Oryzias latipes: one gene and its partners. The protein of the gene in region 3 purifies or fractionates together with the protein of the main gene of each other region. This does not show direct contact. Links are inferred from orthologs where the notes say so. Each region holds a gene or a part of one and is shown on either strand. Other genes may lie near its edges. The genes, in order: dyrk2, cep78, ubr5, sox2, atmin and plk1.

Evidence for each region.
Region 1: the proteins of ubr5 (region 3) and dyrk2 purify together in Homo sapiens (affinity purification with western blotting; 3 studies listed by BioGRID and IntAct, with this or other methods). This does not show direct contact. The link is inferred for Oryzias latipes from reciprocal best matches to the Homo sapiens genes UBR5 and DYRK2.
Region 2: the proteins of ubr5 (region 3) and cep78 purify together in Homo sapiens (affinity purification with western blotting; 3 studies listed by BioGRID, with this or other methods). This does not show direct contact. The link is inferred for Oryzias latipes from reciprocal best matches to the Homo sapiens genes UBR5 and CEP78.
Region 4: the proteins of ubr5 (region 3) and sox2 purify together in Homo sapiens (affinity purification with western blotting; 3 studies listed by BioGRID and IntAct, with this or other methods). This does not show direct contact. The link is inferred for Oryzias latipes from reciprocal best matches to the Homo sapiens genes UBR5 and SOX2.
Region 5: the proteins of ubr5 (region 3) and atmin purify together in Homo sapiens (affinity purification with western blotting; 3 studies listed by BioGRID). This does not show direct contact. The link is inferred for Oryzias latipes from reciprocal best matches to the Homo sapiens genes UBR5 and ATMIN.
Region 6: the proteins of ubr5 (region 3) and plk1 purify together in Homo sapiens (affinity purification with mass spectrometry; 4 studies listed by BioGRID and IntAct, with this or other methods). This does not show direct contact. The link is inferred for Oryzias latipes from reciprocal best matches to the Homo sapiens genes UBR5 and PLK1.

What each region holds. Positions count from the first base shown.
Region 1 is NC_019881.2:22,945,386-22,947,919, forward strand, and holds the end of dyrk2 (dual specificity tyrosine-phosphorylation-regulated kinase 2), read left to right. Parts: intron 1-37; coding exon 38-128; intron 129-1,299; coding exon 1,300-1,937; 3' UTR 1,938-2,034; downstream 2,035-2,534. UniProt on the Homo sapiens protein: Serine/threonine-protein kinase involved in the regulation of the mitotic cell cycle, cell proliferation, apoptosis, organization of the cytoskeleton and neurite outgrowth. Functions in part via its role in ubiquitin-dependent proteasomal protein degradation.
Region 2 is NC_019867.2:7,051,823-7,056,081, reverse strand, and holds the start of cep78 (centrosomal protein of 78 kDa), read right to left. Parts: upstream 2,801-4,259; 5' UTR 2,671-2,800; intron 2,014-2,670; 5' UTR 2,004-2,013; coding exon 1,742-2,003; intron 1,640-1,741; coding exon 1,458-1,639; intron 1,317-1,457; coding exon 1,244-1,316; intron 1,026-1,243; coding exon 922-1,025; intron 259-921; coding exon 84-258; intron 4-83; coding exon 1-3. UniProt on the Homo sapiens protein: Centriole wall protein that localizes to mature centrioles and regulates centriole and cilia biogenesis. Involved in centrosome duplication: required for efficient PLK4 centrosomal localization and PLK4-induced overduplication of centrioles.
Region 3 is NC_019874.2:6,539,902-6,543,401, forward strand, and holds part of ubr5 (E3 ubiquitin-protein ligase UBR5), read right to left. Parts: intron 3,461-3,500; coding exon 3,342-3,460; intron 3,246-3,341; coding exon 3,119-3,245; intron 2,747-3,118; coding exon 2,617-2,746; intron 2,488-2,616; coding exon 2,327-2,487; intron 2,174-2,326; coding exon 1,934-2,173; intron 1,853-1,933; coding exon 1,729-1,852; intron 84-1,728; coding exon 1-83. UniProt on the Homo sapiens protein: E3 ubiquitin-protein ligase involved in different protein quality control pathways in the cytoplasm and nucleus. Mainly acts as a ubiquitin chain elongator that extends pre-ubiquitinated substrates.
Region 4 is NC_019862.2:18,601,031-18,603,977, forward strand, and holds sox2 (transcription factor SOX-2), read right to left. Parts: upstream 1,470-2,947; coding exon 501-1,469; downstream 1-500. UniProt on the Homo sapiens protein: Transcription factor that forms a trimeric complex with OCT4 on DNA and controls the expression of a number of genes involved in embryonic development such as YES1, FGF4, UTF1 and ZFP206. Binds to the proximal enhancer region of NANOG.
Region 5 is NC_019861.2:22,521,767-22,525,822, forward strand, and holds the start of atmin (ATM interactor), read right to left. Parts: upstream 2,801-4,056; 5' UTR 2,658-2,800; coding exon 2,361-2,657; intron 606-2,360; coding exon 480-605; intron 1-479. UniProt on the Homo sapiens protein: Transcription factor. Plays a crucial role in cell survival and RAD51 foci formation in response to methylating DNA damage. Involved in regulating the activity of ATM in the absence of DNA damage. May play a role in stabilizing ATM.
Region 6 is NC_019859.2:22,726,368-22,730,307, reverse strand, and holds the start of plk1 (serine/threonine-protein kinase PLK1), read left to right. Parts: upstream 1-1,140; 5' UTR 1,141-1,542; coding exon 1,543-1,905; intron 1,906-2,250; coding exon 2,251-2,419; intron 2,420-2,604; coding exon 2,605-2,749; intron 2,750-2,837; coding exon 2,838-2,931; intron 2,932-3,021; coding exon 3,022-3,247; intron 3,248-3,353; coding exon 3,354-3,396; intron 3,397-3,471; coding exon 3,472-3,569; intron 3,570-3,657; coding exon 3,658-3,735; intron 3,736-3,822; coding exon 3,823-3,940. UniProt on the Homo sapiens protein: Serine/threonine-protein kinase that performs several important functions throughout M phase of the cell cycle, including the regulation of centrosome maturation and spindle assembly, the removal of cohesins from chromosome arms, the inactivation of anaphase-promoting complex/cyclosome (APC/C) inhibitors, and the regulation of mitotic exit and cytokinesis.

The DNA of each region.
Region 1 (2,534 bases), on a different chromosome or scaffold from region 3:
TGGATCGCTAACGGATGAACGTCTTTGTCTCCTGCAGGTCATTGACTTTGGTTCCAGCTGCTTTGAACATCAGAGGGTTTACACCTACATCCAGTCCAGGTTTTACCGAGCACCAGAGGTCATTCTAGGTAAGAAGATCCACCTGTTTTGGTGAATGAGTCCAACCACAGAAACTTGTAGGAAACTTGTTCTCTGGTTTGGCCTTAAAGGTGCTTCAATCTTCTACTAGTCCGTTTCCTTTTAATGTGCAATTTCAAATTAAAGTCGATCAGCGTTTATCGCAGGAGTTACGTTCTAAAAATAACTCGCGATAGACAAAATCTGTTATTTTTTAAAATAATTTCTAGAGGATTTAAGGCTGTAAACTACACACTTTATCCACTTTTCTTAGACAGATGTGAACATTTTCACAGTTTTCTCTCTTAAACTCTCAAAGTTCAAACTTTTGTAGAAAATAAGTTTAGAATGAAAACATAGATCTGATCGTGACTGAAGATGCAAATGTGTCCTCTGTGGAGGACATTTCCAAAGCGGAATATCTCCCAAATGCTGCAGACTAATGATTGACGTCCTATTTGTGTCTACAGAGGACAGTTGGGGCTTTTCAATGAGTCCATGTGGAGGACTGGGGTTCTGGGAATTGTAGTTTTTGGTGGTGACCGGACCAAATTTGAGAGGCAAAAGCAACATATTAACTTTTATGTCACATTTGCACTCAAATCTTCATAAAGCTGCAGGAAAACCAAGTGCTACTTCCGTTCTTCTGTGCATCTTTTACTTGAAAACATCCAGCACCAAGTTTTCCTTGGAGACTGAAGTGTGTTATTCTGAGCGTGTGCAGCATGGTTGTAGTGGACATGCGGGTCACTTTGATTCCCTTCCTTAGGGTTCCGGTCCGGTCACTAGAGTCTGGTACACGACGTGTTCAGACGTAAACTGTGACATCCTAAAAAATGATGGGATGTGAACAGTGAACGTAGCTTTAGTTGCAAAATAATTGAACCGTTGTGATGAAACGGTTCCACGTGGCTGGGAGTCCAGACCTTTGGTTTTCTGGTTTTCCTCATCTTCATCATGATGGAATTAAGCTCCAATGCATTATTGCATTATTCATAAAAATAAACCATGCTTTTTGGACTATGCGTCGCACCAGCAAAACAAAAAGAAAAAAAAATCATGTCAAAGTCGCACTTTTGGGAGAAAAGTAAACTTGTGAACAAATCCACCAAGCCGGACGTAAAGAAGTCTAGGACCTGAAAATGAGTGGAGGCTGACTCTGGTTTGTCCTTTTCTCTGAAGGTTCCAGGTATGGGATGCCCATCGACATGTGGTCGCTGGGCTGCATCCTCGCCGAGCTCCTGACTGGTTACCCGCTGTTACCAGGGGAAGACGAAGCCGACCAGCTCGCCTGCATCATAGAACTCCTAGGCATGCCAAGTCAGAAGATCTTGGATGCCTCCAAGCGGGCCAAGAACTTTGTGTCCTCCAAGGGATACCCGCGGTACTGCACCGTCACCACGCTGAGCGACGGCACCACGGTGCTGAACGGAGGACGCTCGCGGCGAGGGAAGGTACGCGGTCCCCCCGGCAGCAAGGTGTGGAGTACGGCGCTGAAGGGCTGCGACGACCCGCTCTTCCTGGACTTCCTCAAACAGTGTTTAGAGTGGGACCCAGCGCACCGGATGACGCCGAGCCAGGCTCTGCGCCATTCGTGGCTCAGGAGGCGACTCCCCAAGCCACCAACAGGAACCACTCCGGGAGACAAGACCTCTTCGTCCAAACGTGCCACCACTGACGGCACCATCACCTCCAATTCTAAGCTCGTAACCTCCTCAACAACCTCCTCCTCCTCCAAAACCAGGACTAACTTAGCTGCAATCACTGACGCCAATGGCAACATCCAGCCTAGGACGGTGCTGCCCAAACTTGTCAGCTGAGAGTGAATGCACCCCGCTCGCTGTGGCGGGAGACGAGAGCTGAGCTCGCAGCAGCCGGTGGGACCTGAATAAAACCGGTCTCTCCGGTTTTAAAGATCGTACGGTCTCGTTCAGCGTTGCTGGGGTGCGTTCAAAACAACTACAGCCAATAGAAACTCCGTGCTTGAGTGTGAACACGTGCTGGGATGGAAGTCTTTTTTTCTTCTTTTTGTGAACTGGGGTACGTTCAGAAGCTCCAACCTCCGTTTGAGACGAGTTGTTTTTAACAATTTGAGCAATTTGAGGTGGGTTCTGCTCAGACAATCTGAACACGCCACCTTCTGCAGCAGCAGACTCACAAACACAACAACAACAACAACATGGTGCTGATGGAGGGAACAAGGCTTTGAAAACATTTTCTGTGCAAATAATGTTCTTAGCTGGATTTATTATTGAGTTTAACACCAAAAAATTCTCTGTCTTAAGAGACTAAACCTGCAGTCCGACCTCTCAGAGAGCAGTTTTCTTCTCATTGACTGATATTTCCTTTTTAAAGCTAAAGAAAAAGATAAAAAAACATTTCAGTTTGCTTTTTTAGTTCATTATCAAACTCGCACA
Region 2 (4,259 bases), on a different chromosome or scaffold from region 3:
AAGCTGTTCAATCAGACAAAAAAATGTAAAGTTCCCACACCACAGCCAGTCTTTGTACAGGAATATGATTAATGGTTATGTACCTTTAATCCAGAGGTCCTCAGCCAGCTCACGAGCGAGAGCAGCTGCACCCCTATCGCCAATCAAAGTGTTACAGTTAAGAGTGATTCGCCGAAGACCGCTCATTCCTTCCAGCTGTGGATGGCGATACCGCAAAGACTCTGCCCATGCTGTACCATGTCTCTGCATTCCCTGATACTGAAACAACAATGGACAATGCTGCTATCTGAACCTTTGATTGGAATTTTAAATAGTTTAGCCAATGAAATCAATCTTCATTTAGAAATTGCAATATCGATTCTTCAAATGTATGACATATTTCTCTTTCTTTGTTCCTTTTGTTTTGAAAAAAAAACTAGAAATTCATTACGGAATAGATATTTTTTCAAATATAGTGACATTAAATCAAAGAAAAAATAACTTGAATTGTGAGCGTGGGAACTGAAATCAAATCGATTCATTTGTTGGAAGTGAAATGCGAAACTTTGTTCATTTCACGACTACAGTAGATGTACTAATAGTTGAAAAACCAAACGCTATAAACATCTTTTTAATATACATTTTTTCATCATTATTAAAAAATGATTTGATCATCTTTAATAAGCAATATCAATTAGTACAATCAAATCATTTAAAAAAAATGGAAGCCAGAAAACTGATGATGTGTCAACATGTAAAACACTCCCTGCATATTGCCTGTTTCCCTTGGTTTATTTTATCTCAGAAAAATGTCTATGAAGTATTTAGCTGGTAAAGAAAAGAAAGAAGGAAAAAAAAGAGTCAAACAATTAAATAAATCTCCATTTGATTTTTGTGTTGCCTTTTAGAAAACATAAAAAAATGTAATTGTATCTATCATACCTTAATAATGTTGGCTAAATGCTCTGCCCCTCTCCATGTAAGACTGCATCCTGTGAAATCAATTGTCTTGATGGTTGTAGAGTACTTCACACTTTGGCAAATGACTGGAACATACAGATATTACAAAAAATAAAGACTTAACATGTGATTAATTTATTTTAAGTTTAGAAAATATTGGATTAGAAATGGTTTATTTCAAGCAATCAAAGCAAGAATAATGCACAAACAATACAATCAACAGAGTTTTACATCCAAACAGAGATAAATATAGACGAATAAGGCATTAAGTATAAATAAATGTTACTACAATAATAATACATACCTTCCAATCCCTCATCTGAGATGGGACAGTTAGCTAAAGAGAGATTTTTCAAAGAAGCACTTTTTGCCAAACCCTGGAACAGGACATATACATGCAGTTAGAACTCTGTTTATCAGACTTCAGCTTATCCTTGTCCTATAATAAATGTGTAATATATTAGCCCTTTTCTCTTTGCAAAAAAAAAAATACTGATAATAACCATATGTCTGTTTACTTTTGTCAAAGCGATGAGGTCCCTTTCTCTCAGCAGAAGTCCATGAAGCTGCAGAGTCTTGAGGTTGGAGGAAACAGTTAAACAGTCTCCCAAGGCTTTGCACAGCTTGAATGTCATCTCCTTTGAGCGAATGGCTGGAATCTTCCTCTTAAAGGTGGATTTATGCTGCCTCCTCTTCAAAACTGACGGTTCATACAGTTGGTATTGTTATCCAAACTTAGACCATATACTCACACATGCTGTTTTTCTTTAACCATTACCACTGCTGTTACTTTCAGGCTTACCTGTATCTCCTGAAGTGTTACTAGCTTGGTAAGTGCTGCTTATAGCGATGTGGTGAAGGTGCTTGTTAATAGATATTGCTTGCAGAATGGGTGGCCAGTCAGATAGTTTGAGCCGGTCTGCATTAAAGTTCAGCATCCCTTTGTCAAGGTTCACTTTAACAGCAGGGACAGGAAAAGTCTCCTGCTTGGCACAGGCGAAGTCATAGTACGCCATAAAGTCCTGGGCACCCTGCTGGCGAATCTGTGCGTTGTCTTGAACCATATTGTCTGACCTGGGGATGATAATAAGGCAGTCCTTCAATCAAAATACCCAATACTTTTACTTCATTTAGGCCACCATGTTTCTAATAGAATAACAGACAAATTGACTATTTTCTTGTTCTATGCATGCACGCAGTGAGGTTTCCTTTTTAAACAAAGGTATTACACGTGATGTATTTAACAGTACTTCAATTAAAAGCAAGTAAATGTAAACTCATTATTTTTGATTGCACTGACAATTTGTGTTAAACTATCAAAATGCTCAAATAAAAAATAAAATTAAAAAATAAGAACAATTACAAATACTTAAAGATTAACCAGAAGGGGGGAAAAACGAAAAGTTTTCCTGCGTTTTCCAGAACAGCAATCAAAGCAAGTAAAAAAAAACTCTGTTTCTGCAAACTAAACTTTATATGTGAGTAAAACCAAGAAATTGGCTATTAAGAAAGATACAACAAACTTGCATTTAAAATTAATAGTGTGCACTCAACAAATCTTTTGGTTCTGATTGGTGTTTATAGAAAAGATACGCGGGCGTTAGCAAGCCAAGCTCAGCTCGTCCTAGCAACTGTTGGATGCAGCAGAGGACAAAACATTTAAAAATCAGTTTTCATCTGGTTTTCAACACGTTATCCAGTAATAACTACCGGAAAACATTCGAGCTTTACCTTTTCGGGCATAACTGAACCCTCTGTTATTGTCAAATTCCACGGTATAAACCGCTCTGTAGTCTCCTCTTGTGTTGTTATTAAATGCTTAAAAGTGGCGCTGTTGCACCGTCAAAACCGCGCCCACATGTCTTCAACACTGGTATCGGGGTGTCAGTAAAAACAACACACTGCCACCTACTGGCTGGGAGGTGTATTTACTCCTCTGACAATACAAACTGTTATGCTGATGTCAGATCAAGAAAAGCATATGATGGTTTTTCTGTAGCATAATTAAAAAGTAAAGTCAATACCAGAAATGCTTTTCCATTTTAATTTTGAGTCAAAAAATGCAGCTTCCTCTTGAAAATGAAAAAGCATTTCTGGTATTGACATTTATTTTTATTTTATGCTACAGAAACGCTTTCATAAAAGCAACAAAAAGGCAGGTCTACTGATTATTTGAATTTGGTTTAAAAATTTACAAAAATAAAATAAACTTTTCAGATATGAAAAATAAAATAAAATTAGAAATCTGTTGTCAAAAAAAAAAAATCTGAATTTAATGTTAAAATTCCTTTAATTAAAATTGACGTGTTGGTTTTAATTTGTTTTCAGTTTGCTTCCCTGGCTTTTTTACTCAAATCCTAATCAGATCATTTTGTTTGATATGTGTCAACCACTTTGGGTTGATGAGTGTTTCTTAGGGGTTATTATTACTGCAAATGGCTTTTATAGAGTTAAATGTTGGTGTCTGCCTTTTTTCCCCCTAAATTTTGTCCTGAGACTTAAACATGTACATTTACTTTAGTACTAATTTAGACAAGGTTGGTTGTAAAATAACTAAACTTGTATTGTTATCAGTATTATCAGAGCCTTAAAAAAACAGTGCTGAGCAAAATTATTGTCTGCCTGGGGCCTTTTTTAAATTACGTCAAAGTAAGAGTGTTTTCCTCTTTTTTACCTGATGGAAACAAAAGTTACTTGTTTTCTAATGATATTTTAAATCTGGGTTGATTTTTTTGTAATAACTGGTTTACTCTACATCAAGCAGTGTATTTAAACTTTAAAAGCTAATCCGACTTTGTGACTTCTTTAGTAGCTTCTGCTAAATAAATGTTCATAATTGCTGTATAGTTCAGTAAAATAAGTGTCATCGACATTTGAATTCTCTGCCTGGTTTCAAGGTCTCTAAACACTCGCCTCTGCCTCTCGCCTTTTAGCCTTGCGTCACACCGCAGCACAGACCCCGCCCAGTCGCTCACTGTGCGAAAGGCCATTGGTCAGAAACAACGTCAGTCATGATCCAAGCTAGCTTCATGCCAGGAATCCCAGTTTTACTCTGGAGAGGTAGGGAAAAGTCAAAACTACGTTGCGGAACGTGGGGGCACCAAGTTAAAAATATCTCAGACGTCTTTATAGCTCGATTAGTAACGAAAAATACCGCTGGTCGGTTGCTGTGAAAGACATTTCCCTGCATAACAGGTAATTTCGACATTATTTCAAAACCTTTTTATATCTATTTAGCCGTTGAGTTTGTTGATGGCCGCTGCCCGAACTGGCGATGTGTTTTTTTTAAACCCCAGACAGCAGTGGCCTGTATGGAGATG
Region 3 (3,500 bases):
TCCGCCTCTGCATTTTCCTCTCCCTGCTCTTCCTGGTCGTCATGGTGGTCTTCTTCCCCTGCTACTCCCTCCACAACTTCAACCTGAAGAAAACAACCTGATCATATCGACAAACAGGCAGGTTCATCAGAAGCCGCTCCATGCTTTGGCTCGTGTGGACCACAAGAAGTGGGTTTGGGGGGAAAAAAAGGAATACTATAATTTTTGGAGTATAAGTCACAGTTTTTTGCAGTTTGGCCAGGAGTGAGACTTATATTAGGGTCAACTTGCATGCAATTTTTAAAAAATAAATACGTTCATGTACTCATTATTTTCCCCACTAGGGGGCACTGTAGGTGTTTATCAGTATTTGCTACAGTACCTGAGAAGAAGTGCTGCTCTATTTGATTAGTGAGAGGAGTCCCAAACAGAGTAGAATCTGACTGTTTTACTCCTGAACTTAAAGATCTTTTTTTTTTTTTCATTGAGACAACAATAAAAAGATCCTATAATTTATTTTTGTTTTTATTTTGTCACTCCTCGGACTCTGGACACCAAGTCATCAAACTGGGTGACAGAGAGACGGAAGTACCGCTGAAAGCGGCCGTCATTCAGACGTCACTCCTGCATTGAAAATTGGATACACAGACAACGCTTTAATGTCGAAATGATGCTATAAAGTTTTGGCGGTAGCTCTTCTCACACAGCGACTAAGGAAAGGCAGCGAATTGGGCACATGAGTTGCATTCGGTGTGAATGCAGCATTACGCCGGCCTTGGCAACGTTGTTCAGAAGTATTTTTCTCCCAAAAGGGGACCTATACTCCGGTGTGACTTACACAGGATTTTTTTTCTTCTTTATTATGCTTTTTTTTTTTGACTGCTTATGCTCCAGAGTGACTTGTAGTCTGAAAAAGATGTCAATGAAATCCATGATTTGATTTTTCTTGTGAGTAGTTTGTCACATTTAATTTTTAGTTTTTGTAAGAATCAACGATTTTATTAGTAAGTCCAACTTAGCTCAGTTGATGGGGCTGCAGTACTCAGATACTCTAATATATGCAATCTGCTCCAGAGAAAAGGAGCACAAATGTGATGTTTGTGATGTGTTGAATTGTGATGCTGGAGATCACAGATTGGCGATATTCATAAATATAGTATAATAAAAATACACTTCAATATAATTATGGCTCTGAAATGCAGAAAATGAATGGATTTCAAGCATATACACTAAACAAACCGTGTGTGCTACTGACACTGGAAGTAAATACATTTTCAAGACAAAGTGTCAGTAAAGCTTTTTTATGTTGAAAGTAAAACTATGAAGTCATTTTTATAGATAAAAATAAAATGAGACTAAAGTTCAGTTTACTGAAATAAATTTTGAAAATTGATGTTTTAAATATATTGAATAAAGAATATAATGAGTATTCAAGTTAGAACGTTACTAAAATCTTGTGATGAAACGTCATGTGACGTCACACGCTGGAGAGGCCAGAACCCGTCTGGAAAATGTTCATCTCAAGTTTGAGAGTTTTTTGGTTGTTCCACTAAAGATGAAAAACAAGTTAGTTTACTCATAAAAATCAGTGAGGTTTAGGATTGGTTTCCTGTTGAAGTTAACCAGGCAGAAAATGCAGGAGTCCAGGGGCTTCATGGAGGTGATTACTGGAGTCCGTCACCAGTGTGCACTGAATGACACGCAGCCAAAGGCAAATTTAACTCTGAATAATATTGGGATGCTCCCCACCTCCTCCACATCAGCTGACACGATGTCGTCCTGCTCCTCGTCTCGTCCCCTGACAGGCTGAGACTGGCTGCTGCGTCTGGGCTGAGAGTTTCTGATGATATAGGAGGCAGCGGTTTGGCTAGAGCTGGGGGGGAAAAAACCCTGAGTGATTTCATCCAGAAATGTATATTAATTTTTTCTTTCATTGTAAGAAAACCAAACTTACCTGCTTGATTGGTCGGGTGAGGGTCTCGGTGGAAGCGGTTCCACAGAGAAGAGCTCCTCGCTGCCCTGAACCGCATCGATGCTCGTGCTGGCCAAGGTGAAAGGAGCCGTGGGTCGCGCTATGCCCATGCGGACGGGGACGATGAGAGACTCCGACACGTTACACAGCTCCTCCACAGCGTACGGGAGCAGGGCCTGGAAAACACGCCGGCACTTCCCAATCGGCTGCGGGATGAAGTTGCTAATTTAAGGAACAAAAAAGGGAGACAGAGTTAGTCCCATGAGTCACAAAGTCATTTTAAGCTGCAGCCAGATTTATCAGACACACGGAATTCTGTTTCGTCCTCCTGCCTTATGCCAGCTTGTGGACTGCGAAAAGAAACCGTGTTCTTACTTTTTCTTCTTTGACGATGCCATTTCCACGCTGAGAATGACGAAAACTCGCGCTACGGAGCGCAGGAACCTCCTGGTAACAATCACTGCCTCCTCTCTCCGGCCAGGAGTGTATTTGTTCTGCAGCTCTTTCACCAGGGTCCCCAGCAATGTGTCAATGAACTAATACAGAATCGAGACAATGATTTAAATGCATCCAAAACACCTCAAGAGTTTTCAGAACACTTGACATGGAGAACTGTTTATTCATTATGGAAGATCAATTTTTATAGATGAAAAAAGTGGACTCACTGTGATGTCAGGAGCACATTTGACAATGAGGCAATGTGTGAAACAGTCAAGGCGGATGGTGCCACTTTGTTGATTCAAGTAGACCTGTTCTTCAGGCAGGAGGTGGGCGATTCTACTGCTGGCACTAAGTCTAGGAAACAAGAGACGCATACAGATCACCAAACTGTGTGAAGACGAAGGATCCTGTTTCATTAACTGACAGATGAAAAAAACCTCAAAACATCTCTGGATCAGTTTCCCATGATGCATTGGAAAATGTCACCAAAAACAGCAATGCAGACATGAAACTAAGACAGTCAAACAATGACTAGAGGAACACTGCAGGACCAAAATCTTTTTATGGATACTCAAGTTTCATGTGCAGAGCTTTTTCCTTTCACAGAATTATTTTGAGAATTATAACTTCTGTGCCCATATGTTCTGTATTTACTGCACAAAATATTCAAACTTCCTGAAAATACTCCTGCCGACAACAACATTTCTACTTTCCTCAGAAACTTACGGGTCTTTGTTTTCCTGAGAACCAAACATGATCATTGATTTGAGGGCATTCCAGTCCTGCAGAACCCTCTCCAGAGCAAGTTGAGCAAAGCGAGGCGGTTCGAGGTCATGGTCAGGCATATCAGAATCTGCAGAAACGTTCAAAAAATAAGAAGAGGACAGATCATGTAAAAGGGCCTGTTCATAGAATCTGTGTGATCTGAACAAAGTGAAGAAGAAGAAACCTTCAGCGTTGGCAGCTTTGCGGTTCCTGTCTTCTCTGATGCGTGGTGGTCTGTACTGACAGTGCTCAACACTTTGTCTGGCCACAGTCTGGACCAGGAACAGTAATATATGCTCCCCCCTGGAGGAGGAAACCAGTCGGACTGATGATCCATGCTTTA
Region 4 (2,947 bases), on a different chromosome or scaffold from region 3:
AAAAAAAATACCTGCATCTTTTGTCCCTTTTTATTCCAATGTTTTAATTGGAAGCATAACTGATCACTTCCATTACTCTTGTTCTGCTATTTTTCACTTTTAATGTTCTCTGCAGAACCAGCTTTATATATATATATATATATAATAATTAAAAAAGGAAAATAAAAATGCAACCTCTTGCAGATTAACAAACAATTTCATCTGATTGTAATGTTTCTTTGATAAATACTGTACAAAAGGTGATTGCAATAATAAAACATTTGATTGCGACTCCCACTTTCTAGTCTTCCAAACTTCATCCAACAGTGAAGAGGGGATCTACCGTTCCTCTATGCTTCCTTAGGATAAAAGGAAAGAAAAAAAAGTCCCTTTTTTTCTTGAAGATTTCTATACAACTTTTTCTCACCCATTTTTTTTCTGTACAAAAATAGTCCAACATTAAGTAGTCCACAGTAGCTTTTATAAAAGTCTGCTTTTGCCCCCCTCCTGCGCTCTGTCCCTTACATGTGTGTTAACGGCAGCGTGCCGTTGATCGTCGTCCCGGGCACGGTGCTCTGGTAGTGGCCGGACATGTGTAGCCTGGTCTGGGCAGTCTGCTCGCTGACCTCCGCCCCGGGCAGGTACATGCTGATCATGTCCCTCAGATCACCGCTTTGGCAGCCCGGGGCGGCCCGGTGAGACGAGGAGGTGACGACGGGCGGGCTGGAGCTGCTGGACTCGGACTTCACCACCGAGGAGGGCCCCATGGAGCCCAGGGCGGTCATACCCGGCGTGGTTTGCTGGGAGTAGGACATGGAGTACGTCGGGGAGCCGTTCATGTAGCTCTGGGAGCTGGTCATGGAGTTGTACTGCAGGGCGCTCATGTCGTAGCGGTGCATGGGCTGCATCTGGCTCGGGTTGTGCGCGTTCAGACCTGCGTGCTGGTAGCTCAGCTGGTCCTGCATCATGCCATAGCCCCCGTTGGTCCAGCCGTTCATGTGCGCCGCGTAACTGTCCATCCGCTGGTTAACCCCACCGCCCAGGCCGGCCCCTACCCCGACACCGACCCCGGTCCCCATACCGTTTCCTCCAGGAGCCAGCAACCCGCCCGGTAAGGTGTATTTGTCCTTCTTCATGAGGGTCTTGGTTTTCCGCCGGGGCCGGTATTTGTAATCCGGGTGCTCCTTCATGTGCAGGGCCCTCAGCCTCTTAGCCTCGTCGATGAAAGGTCTCTTCTCGCTCTCTGACAGAAGTTTCCACTCTGCGCCCAGCCTCTTGCTTATCTCCGAGTTGTGCATTTTGGGGTTTTCTTGCGCCATCTTCCTCCTCTGGCCTCGGGACCACACCATGAAGGCGTTCATGGGTCTTTTGACTCTCTCCGGGCTGTTTTTCTGGTTGGTGCCGGTGCCGGACGTGTTTGTGTTCCCCGTGCCCCCCGTGTTGGTCTGGGGAGCAGGGGGCTTCAGTTCAGTCTCCATCATGTTATACATCAGGGAAAATTTTAACTTTTCGCTGGGAGCTCCCGAGCAGAAAAAAAAGACAAGAAAAAAAAGAAAAAAGAAAAAAAAGGAGCTTCTCTCCAGAAGCTGAGCGCAGACAGAGGAGCGCACGAGCGCTTTCAGTTACCTGCCGATTTTCTATGCAACTTTTCTCTGGACAAAAACAACGAGCATCAAGCCGCGCGTCTCCGCACACTCTCCCCCTCTCACTCCCACTCAGCGTGTCACACCGTGTGTGTGTGAGTGTGTGTGACAGAGAGCCTTCTCCCAACACGTCCCGGCAATGTTGTGTCCACAAAACTTCTCCCGCGGCTGCTCGCAAAAAGCATCAACAAACTGTACTTTTTCGCCTCAGTCCGCCTGAGCCTTGACAACTCCAGATAGTTTTTGAACAAGTTAATAGACAACCATTCATGTGAAGGGGCTGTCAGTGAATAAATGGCTTCGGCCTGACCAATCAGAGCGAGCCCCGCGCGCCAATGGGAGAGCGTGTGGTCGGAAAAGGGCGGAGTCTGGAGCGCAGCGAGGCACAGGCGTACACTCCGGCTCCTGCTGCCCATATCAGACAATACTAAGTACATATTTACTATTTCATCTTGCTTGTGGGAATTTCTATGTTTGATAGCGCTTTGTGAATACGTTACACCTTTTAGGTGGAAGTTTATACGACGCAGAGATGCAGCATTTTCAAAATCAGAAATTACTTTTTTGTAACTTTTAAAAGCTCAAAATGTAAAAAGTTAATAAGTACAAGTAAAAAAAAAAGACTACTTTTTGAATACGTTTTTAAAATTAAATTAGACATATTGAAGCAACATGACACTATTTCTTTTAAAAAAGAACAGATTTATTTTTATTCTAAATTGTTTTTTAGATGAAATATGAGGCATATCCAGACCAAATGAAAAAGCCACTTAATCAACCCTACTTAATGGCCCAATAACATAACACGCAAAGAAACTTTGTGAGTTAACTCACTGAAAGCTCTGAACAGCAGAGCTGTGGGGTGAATGTGTGCGTAAAAGAAGGTGGAGAGGGGGGGGGTGTCCACGGCTCGTTTTTTAGCCTTGAAAAGAGAAAAGGTAATCCAAGATGTTTCCCCCAGTCCTTTTGTTTAGGTGAAGTTGAATGCCAACACACACAGAAGGCAGACGGCCTCATCTTAGCACAAATAAGCGCGTTTTGTTTGGGATGTTGTCGCTACATCTGTCCGGACAAAGACCCCAACTCCACTTCCACTTCCACAGTGCCAGCGCTGCAGTTACGCATGGGTCTTTGTGGCGTGGTACGCGCACCGGAGACACGAGACAGGGACCGAATGAAAGGTGAGGAATATTTTAAGATGAAAGTGTGTTCGCACAAAAGATCTACACATTCATAGGAGTTCCAACAAGTGTGTCAGCCAATTAGTGGGAATCAAAACGCGGCCTTCACCTGCGCTTCAATTAGTCCTGGATCAAGAAACGGCC
Region 5 (4,056 bases), on a different chromosome or scaffold from region 3:
TCTCTATTAAATAAACAAACACTGACACAACAAATGAAGGACCCAACCACAGTTATATTGTCAAATAGATTTGGATTTTTTGCGAACAACAGCCTTTAACAAAGGAAAGAAGAAACGTAAATGGTAAATGTTACATAACAGCAATTCATCTATAATTAACTGACAAAATGTTAAAGATATCCAATCTACATCTGGATAGAAAGGCTATTCACACTGTCAGAATTATATGTATGCTAATTCTGATACTAGAAATTAGATGAGAGAACATCAATGCATGTTGTTGTTATATAACATGGTGACAACAGAAGGTGCGTGCAATTCTGAGAATTATGTATGACTTATTAGGTAACATTTTTATTCCGTCGTTACAGAAACCATTTTCCGGAGACAACAATTCTCAGCTCTGACCAAAAGCTTCAACTTTCAGTTGTCTCTGTATAAGAACATCAAGAACAGCAGATAAATGAGAATTTACTAACTTGCTTAACAAGGGAGAACTGGGAGAAGGGTCTGTTAGGTCCTCTTGGACAACCTTCCACAGGACAACAGTAAACTTTCTGAGAGGCCTTCATGTCCTTTCGGACTGTAGGATTGATGATGCCATCCTGAAACACACCAACAGAAACAACAGATGAGAAAAACAGCACAATAACCATAGCTTGCACTTTCTCCTAATAGAAAACTGGGCAGAGAAGGTTTCCCAAAAATCTTATTAAAAAAACAAAAAAAAACAAATTTTTTAGTCAGCTAATTAGTCTAAACTCCTATCTTTAATCTAACGGAGTATTAAGAATCCACACCATTACAAATAAACAGCCTGGATCTAAGCTGGCATTTATAAAGCTTAACCTTAACATAAGTAAGAACAAAGCATACGGTACTCAAATAGCTGCAGACTGCCTCATATAGACACAAACTGGAGTCATTTGTCATCAGACAGTTAATAGGGAAAAGACGTTCCGATTCACCGTCCTGCCCCAGCAGGGTCAGAACAGTTTTGCAAAGACTTGAGATTGATCTTCTCTGTGGGACTGAGCGGCGGATAAATGACATCAACAGTCGCTAAAGTTCTACTCTTCTTGTCGCTAAGTGTAATAGATTGAGAGGCACAAAGCTGCCTTGCTTTGTGCCAAGCCAAACGGCCACATTAGCTCCAAAGGAGGTTGAACCGAGTCCCCTAAGAAAAATAAGAAAATTCTACTGATATATAGATGTTTTTTTTTAAAGAGAGAAACCCAATATTTCATCAGAGATATTGTCAATATGTGACCTAATGATACTTTTTGTGAGAGTAATGAAGCTAAAATATTTATGCAGAACAATCAGAATGCCAATTCTAGAAAAATTTTAACACATGTAAGCTCCTAACAGTATAAACAACGGCGAATTCTTCTCAGTTTTTTCAACAGTTAAAACATGTTTGGCAGATGGGCAAGTGTCTAAGATCAGAAATAGCACTTTCTTTGAATACTCTTCCACTTTTCCCTCTTTGACCATCAACAACCTGTTCTTATTCTTACTCACAGTCGCTTCTGTCATTTAAAGAACTCAGTATGTTATAGGATAACACTGAGTGACCTTAAGAAAGAACACATATTCAATAAGGAAGGACATTGACTCAAAACATCCCACAAGAAAACTCAGTCCAGCAAAAAGAGAGAATGTAAACCTTTGGGAGAAACGCAATGAATACTTTCCTTGTTAACTACTAGTCAATAATAATAATAATAATAATAATAATAATAATAAAACTGCATGTACGTACATACATCCACCACAACTTACAAATCACAGTCGTTCATTCATTTGTTGCTTAAATTATCCTAAACATGATAAATAGCTTCACTCTTTGCTGTTGCAGTGATGCACTATTTCTTTGAGTTTAACCAGCAACAATGTCCGTTGGTTTTTAGTGGCATAAATTAAATGTATTTGAATAATTTATAAAGCTAATAAACATTACAGTAAAAATGGAAAAACTTGCATTTCCAATGTCATCTGTTTTGTTGTTGGCGTAATTATATTATCTTAACTCTTTGCATCTAAATTATAACTGGAAATGAAGTCAAACATTAGATTTAGGAACTGACAGCGCGTTTTGCTAACCCTTTAAGCTAGCTAGCTAGCTAGTTTTAACTAACAGTTAACTAGCATAAGCTTAAAATTAATGCATTCCCTTTAAACAAATGCTAACTACAATGCCTTGTTTCTGTTTGCTACATCACTCCTGCTATAAGCGCTAGCTATGAGTTTGAATGACTTGCGTTTTTATTAGTTGGCAGGTAAAGTCAGCAGTAATTAGCTCAGCCGGCCATTGGTTCCACGCATGCTAACTAAGTGTTCGTGATCAGAGTGATTACCTTTATTCTGTGCGATTTAACAAGATGCATGTTCAATGCAGGTGTGTTGGGAAGAATCTTCCCGCATCCTTCCACTGTGCAGAGGATGTTTTTCCTCACTTCTTTGGTCAGCTCACTGATGGTGGGTTTTATAATTTCGCGACATAGCGGCAGGGAATCCTCTTCGCTTTTGAGAGCGTCTGTCGTCGTGGAATCGCTGTAATTCTTCTTGTTTATCGCAGAAGCGGCCATGTTTGTGTTAGAGATCCACGCTGTGTTTGCCGGAGCTTCAGCTGCAGCTAAGAATGAACACTCCATACACTGAACATAACACAGACATAACGAACGCCCCTCCACTCTGTCCGAAAGGCTTTCTCACCTCCACGTCATATCCAGGATAACGTTCTGACTTCCGCTTTACAAAATAAAATGCAATTCATTTTTAAAAGCATCTTGGCGGATATTTGTGCAGTGTACGAACATTTGAAATATTTTTATTTTTTGAACTTTAAACATACACATAACTACACACAAAAAAAGAGAGAAAAATAAAATAAATAAATAAAACAAAATATATAGAATTGTAGTTTAGGGATTGTGATACAGCATGTGATGGAGTCATGGACATTTGAAATATGACGACGAGTTTTTTCTCGTCATGACGAGATTAATGTCACCATGATAAGAAAAAACTCGGCACAAAGTTTCGAGAAAAAACTCGTGTCGAGATAAAAGTCGAAATAAAGTTTCGTAAATTTAGGAGATAAAAAAGTCGTAAATTTACGAGTTTTTAATCTCATACATTAACAAGGAGAAAACACCGAAGTTTTCTGTTTATCGGAGCCTAGCTTGAAGATGAAATATGTAGAGCCTTTTGTGAAGCTTTGTTTCAGGATTATTATAGGTTTAAAACAAAGAGATTCTGAACCTTTTGGCGACTCAAAATCAGATTATTGTCAGTGGAGCCGGCTTTCCGGGGTTCGGTGTCAGTAAAGCGGACTTTCATATGTAAAATAAGGAGCTCAGAGACACGATTGGGTGTAGAGGACCGCTGCAGACTTTTATTCTCCTTTTCATTCACATAACCTGAAGTTCATCTCACCTTACGTCATGAACCTGTCATCCGAACACCAATGCGGAAGTAAACGGTGTTACATACGCCACCTCCTGCAGATGAAGCGTCCTGTTTCAGCATAAAACAACAAAGTTGAATGAAAATTGTAGTAGCTTGTGGGAAGGAATGACAGGCTCGTTGTTTTCTTCAAGTGTAACTTTATTCTCCAACCATAGCCGGCTCGCGCCGTGTACAACCTGCTGGCAGCTCCCCGTCCAGCTTCACCCCTGAAATCCCGGGGTGGCTCAATACTGCCCCCTCGCGGCCTGAACGGCAACAGCTCCTGTGGCTATTCAACAAAAATAGTCCGTTATATTAGCATTATTGAAAAAACCCAAAAAAGTGCTCCTCCTTTTGACGGAAGCGTCACATAGGCGTAGTGGTCTTTGGTGGAGGAAGAAAGGATTGAAGTGGACAGCTGCAGGGATACCGACGGCTTCATCGGGCTGCAGAGATCCTGCAAAACCACCCATCAATAAATAAAACTTTAATAAATCAAACAAATGAGCTTCCAGACATTTGGAACGTTATCAATAAACATTCAGATCACCTGTTCCACCAAGTTTAGTCGGTCTGCTCTGTTGCTGCGCGTCATTCACCTGC
Region 6 (3,940 bases), on a different chromosome or scaffold from region 3:
TTAGGGGAAAAACAACTTTTTTTTTTTTTTTTAGCTTGGCATGTTGAAACCAAACAGTACAGTCAATATCCAAATGTAAAAAATTGGGAATCTTCATGTATTCTGGAGTTATTATTTAAGTATAGGCATCAACAGGTTAACCATCATGATCAGAAAGTGAAAGTCCTTAATTTCATCATGTTAACATCTTGTCAAATAAACAATAATCTTGGTATCACAAAAACGATGTGACTTTTTTTTAGTGTGGCAAGACAGATTAAACCATTACTGCAGGTTTACTTTCTCATATTGCTTTTGTTACACTATATTTTACTGCTTCTCACCATTTTATGCTTTCCAGCATAAATAATCTTTCAAGTTAAACCCTGAGGCTTTTTTGCTCAAAATCCTTTTTGAATTTCAACCAATCTAGAGTGAAAAATATCCTCCTCACTACCGGCAATAAAAACTTGTCCCCATAGTGGACATTTCTAGACCTGAAAATTATTCAACCACTGCAATTACTGAATGAACTCCTTTTGGTATCTACAGAGGGCATTTGTGGCTTTTCAATGATTACAATGATACACTTAGAATGCCGATAGCACTGTCTGAGAATTTGGTTTGAAACAGTATTTAATGGTTGTTCTAACAGAGTAGAAATTAAAAGAAAACATGAGAAGAAAGCAAACACTCACATGTTTCTCAATTTATGAAAAGTTGAAAGTTTTTCAAGGAAGTGTGGCGCAAGATGAGTGTACACAGTCAGCATGGCAATCAATAAAAATAAAAGTGTATAACCTGAACCAACAATGTCTGTCAATAAAAATCCATCCAAAAAGTGAAAATGACAAATTCATAAAAAACTCATAGTCTAACAAAGATTAAATAAACTTCATATGATCCTCTGCATTCATGTAATATTAGTGTTCAACTAATAACATGAACCTAAATGATCGATATTGGATCAGGAGTGGCCATAATTCGGATAACGCTAATAACAAAACACTTTCGAAATTAAATCCTTTTCCCGACTACATTTCCCATCCGTCTTTCTCGAGGAAACAAAAACAGCCTTTCAGCCAATCAGATTGTTGGAGGCCTTCTACTCTACTCCTGATTGGCTATTTTTGTACACATGTTCCCAAGATGCTTTGCTGTGACGCTGTGGAATTCAAATCTAGCAGACCAATCAACGATCGCCAAAACGACCGAGCCAGCATTTTAAATTTGTACGAGACACTTGTTATCGAAAAGGCAGAACGGGACAAGGCAACCGCTGCCGGGGAAGTCTGCGCAAGAATTCTGCCTCCGGTTTTTTTTTTAATTAATTTATTTAATCTTGGGACCTGTCGGCCTTTAAATGTTAGTCAACGTTTGCGGTTTAGATCGTTTGTTAGTATTTGCTGTAAATTGAGGCGTAGAAAAAGTTAGCTTCGAAGGCTAAACTAACGTCGGTTGAGTTGGAGGGTTAAACAACACTTTAGCCCTTGTTTAATAACTTTTGCGTTTCGACTTCTTTGGAGTTTTATTAACGCGGAAAGAGCACTTTTAAAGTACACCATGAGTGCTGCTATCGCAAAGCCGGCGCAGCCGTCCGGACACGTCGACCCAAAATCGGCTCCTCTGAAAGAAATCCCAGAGGTTTTGGTGGATCCCCGCACCCTGAGGAGATACTCCAAGGGCAGGTTCCTCGGCAAGGGGGGCTTCGCCAAATGCTTCGAAATTACAGACATGGAGACCAAGCAGGTTTTCGCTGGCAAAATAGTGCCCAAGTCGTTGATCCTGAAGCAGCACCAAAGGGAGAAGATGAGCTCGGAAATCTCCATTCACAAGAGCCTCAATCATGCTAACATCGTGGGCTTCCACGGCTTCTTTGAGGACGACGACTTTGTCTATGTGGTCCTGGAGATCTGCAGGAGAAGGGTGAGGATTTTGGGAACTCTAAATGAAAATACATGAAGGCCAACGGTTAACAATGTGGCCTCTTCCGTTACCCCCCCCCCCCCCCCTCCTTTGGCATAGTGCTGGGAGACTCAAATCCCCTGATCACTGCTTTAAATCACTGTTACTTATCCTAAACCAGTAACTTTTTGTAATTTAAAACTATAGAGATATCTAAATTCTTTTTCCCCTTTGTGTTGTTCCACGTGTTGTTTTTAACACTTCTTGAGGTGCCACTTCACTTCATCCAGCTTGTTCATGCTCTCCCAGCCTCCATTTTCCTCCACTGAGTTCAGCCGCTCACCAGAACTGTTGTCCTTTTTCAAGTCCCTGTTGGAGTTGCACAAGCGCAGGAAGGCGGTCACGGAGCCGGAGGCTCGCTACTACATGACCCAGCTGCTGAAAGGGGTCCATTATCTGCACAGCAACAAGGTCATCCACAGAGACCTGAAACTGGGGAACATCTTCCTCAACGACGACATGGAAGTCAAGATAGGTATGGAGAGCAGGAAACCTGTCGGTGTAGTGACAAAGAAACGGGCACACCCATGTTCTTGATATGCTCCCATAACTTCCTTGTTGAGAACTTCCAGCTCCAATTTGTTAACACCCATATTTGGCTTCTTAATATCCTTTACTCAGATTAAACGCTGATCATTTCTTTCTTTCCTTTTTTGCTAGGTGACTTTGGTTTGGCCACAAAGATTGAGTTTGATGGTGAACGGAAGAAGACCTTGTGTGGAACGCCCAACTATATCGCTCCGGAAGTGCTGTGCAAGAAAGGCCACAGCTATGAAGTGGATGTCTGGTCACTTGGGTGCATATTGTAAGTGTGTAAACCCACAGTGGAGTGGGGAAGAGTGTCATTCCACAGGATTCTGGATACTCAACTTCCTTCCTGTATCCTCTCATAGGTACACTTTGTTAGTCGGCAAGCCTCCGTTTGAAACCTCATGCCTGAAAGACACATACAACCGGATCAAGAAGAACAATTACACCATCCCCTGGGTGAGAAGAGCTGACGTTAATCCCTAAATGTACGTAATAGTTGGTGAAAGAAAATCTTAAGTTTACCGTCACTTCACTTGAATGCTGCAGCAAATCAACCCGTCAGCCTCGGCTCTCATCAAGAGGATGCTGCATGCCGATCCTGCCCAGAGGCCCACCATCACTGACCTGCAGACGGATGAGTTCTTCACATCGGGATACGTCCCCCTGCGGCTGCCCACCACTTGTCTCACTGTGCCCCCGCGGTTCTCCATTGCCCCCTCCATGGCTGCAGAGCTCAGCCAGAGGCGCCCCCTGACTGCCATAAACAACAAAGGTAACAAACCCAACAATTGCCCAAAACTGGTGCACTGATAATGAAAGTCTGCAGTTAATCAACAGTGATATTGATGGAGGTTTTTTTTATATATTTTTTTTCTCAGCCGGCACAGAGAAGGTGGACATGAAAGACGAGCCTGCTCCACTGTGAGACATCACACTAAGGTCTAAAACATGCGTCGTAGTTTGATCAAAAATGATAAATGGGAATTTTGTGTGCAGAGAGGCGGAGCCAGAAGAATGTTACCTGAAGGACATGCTGCAGCAGCTCAACAGCATCATCTCTGCCAAGCCTTCAGAGAAGGCGGTCATTCGGCAAGGTGAGAGCAGCCGCCTGCAGGAACTACCTAAACTTTCTGCAGTTTTAGTCAGTCCTTCTTACAGAAAACCCCTTGTCTTTGATTTCAGAGGAAGCAGAGGATCCTGCGTGTATTCCCATCTTTTGGATCAGTAAATGGGTCGACTACTCTGACAAATATGGATTAGGTAAATTCTAAATCTTAGGACAGGTTTGCCTTTTATTGTCTTGCTTTTAATGGAGAATTAAGGGTGTGCTGTAAATTGCTTTCGCAGGATACCAGCTTTGTGACAACAGTGTTGGTGTTCTATTCAACGATTTCACCCGACTCATCATGTATGCTGATGGCGACAGTCTGCAGTACATTGACAAGAAGGCTGCTGAGTCCTATTT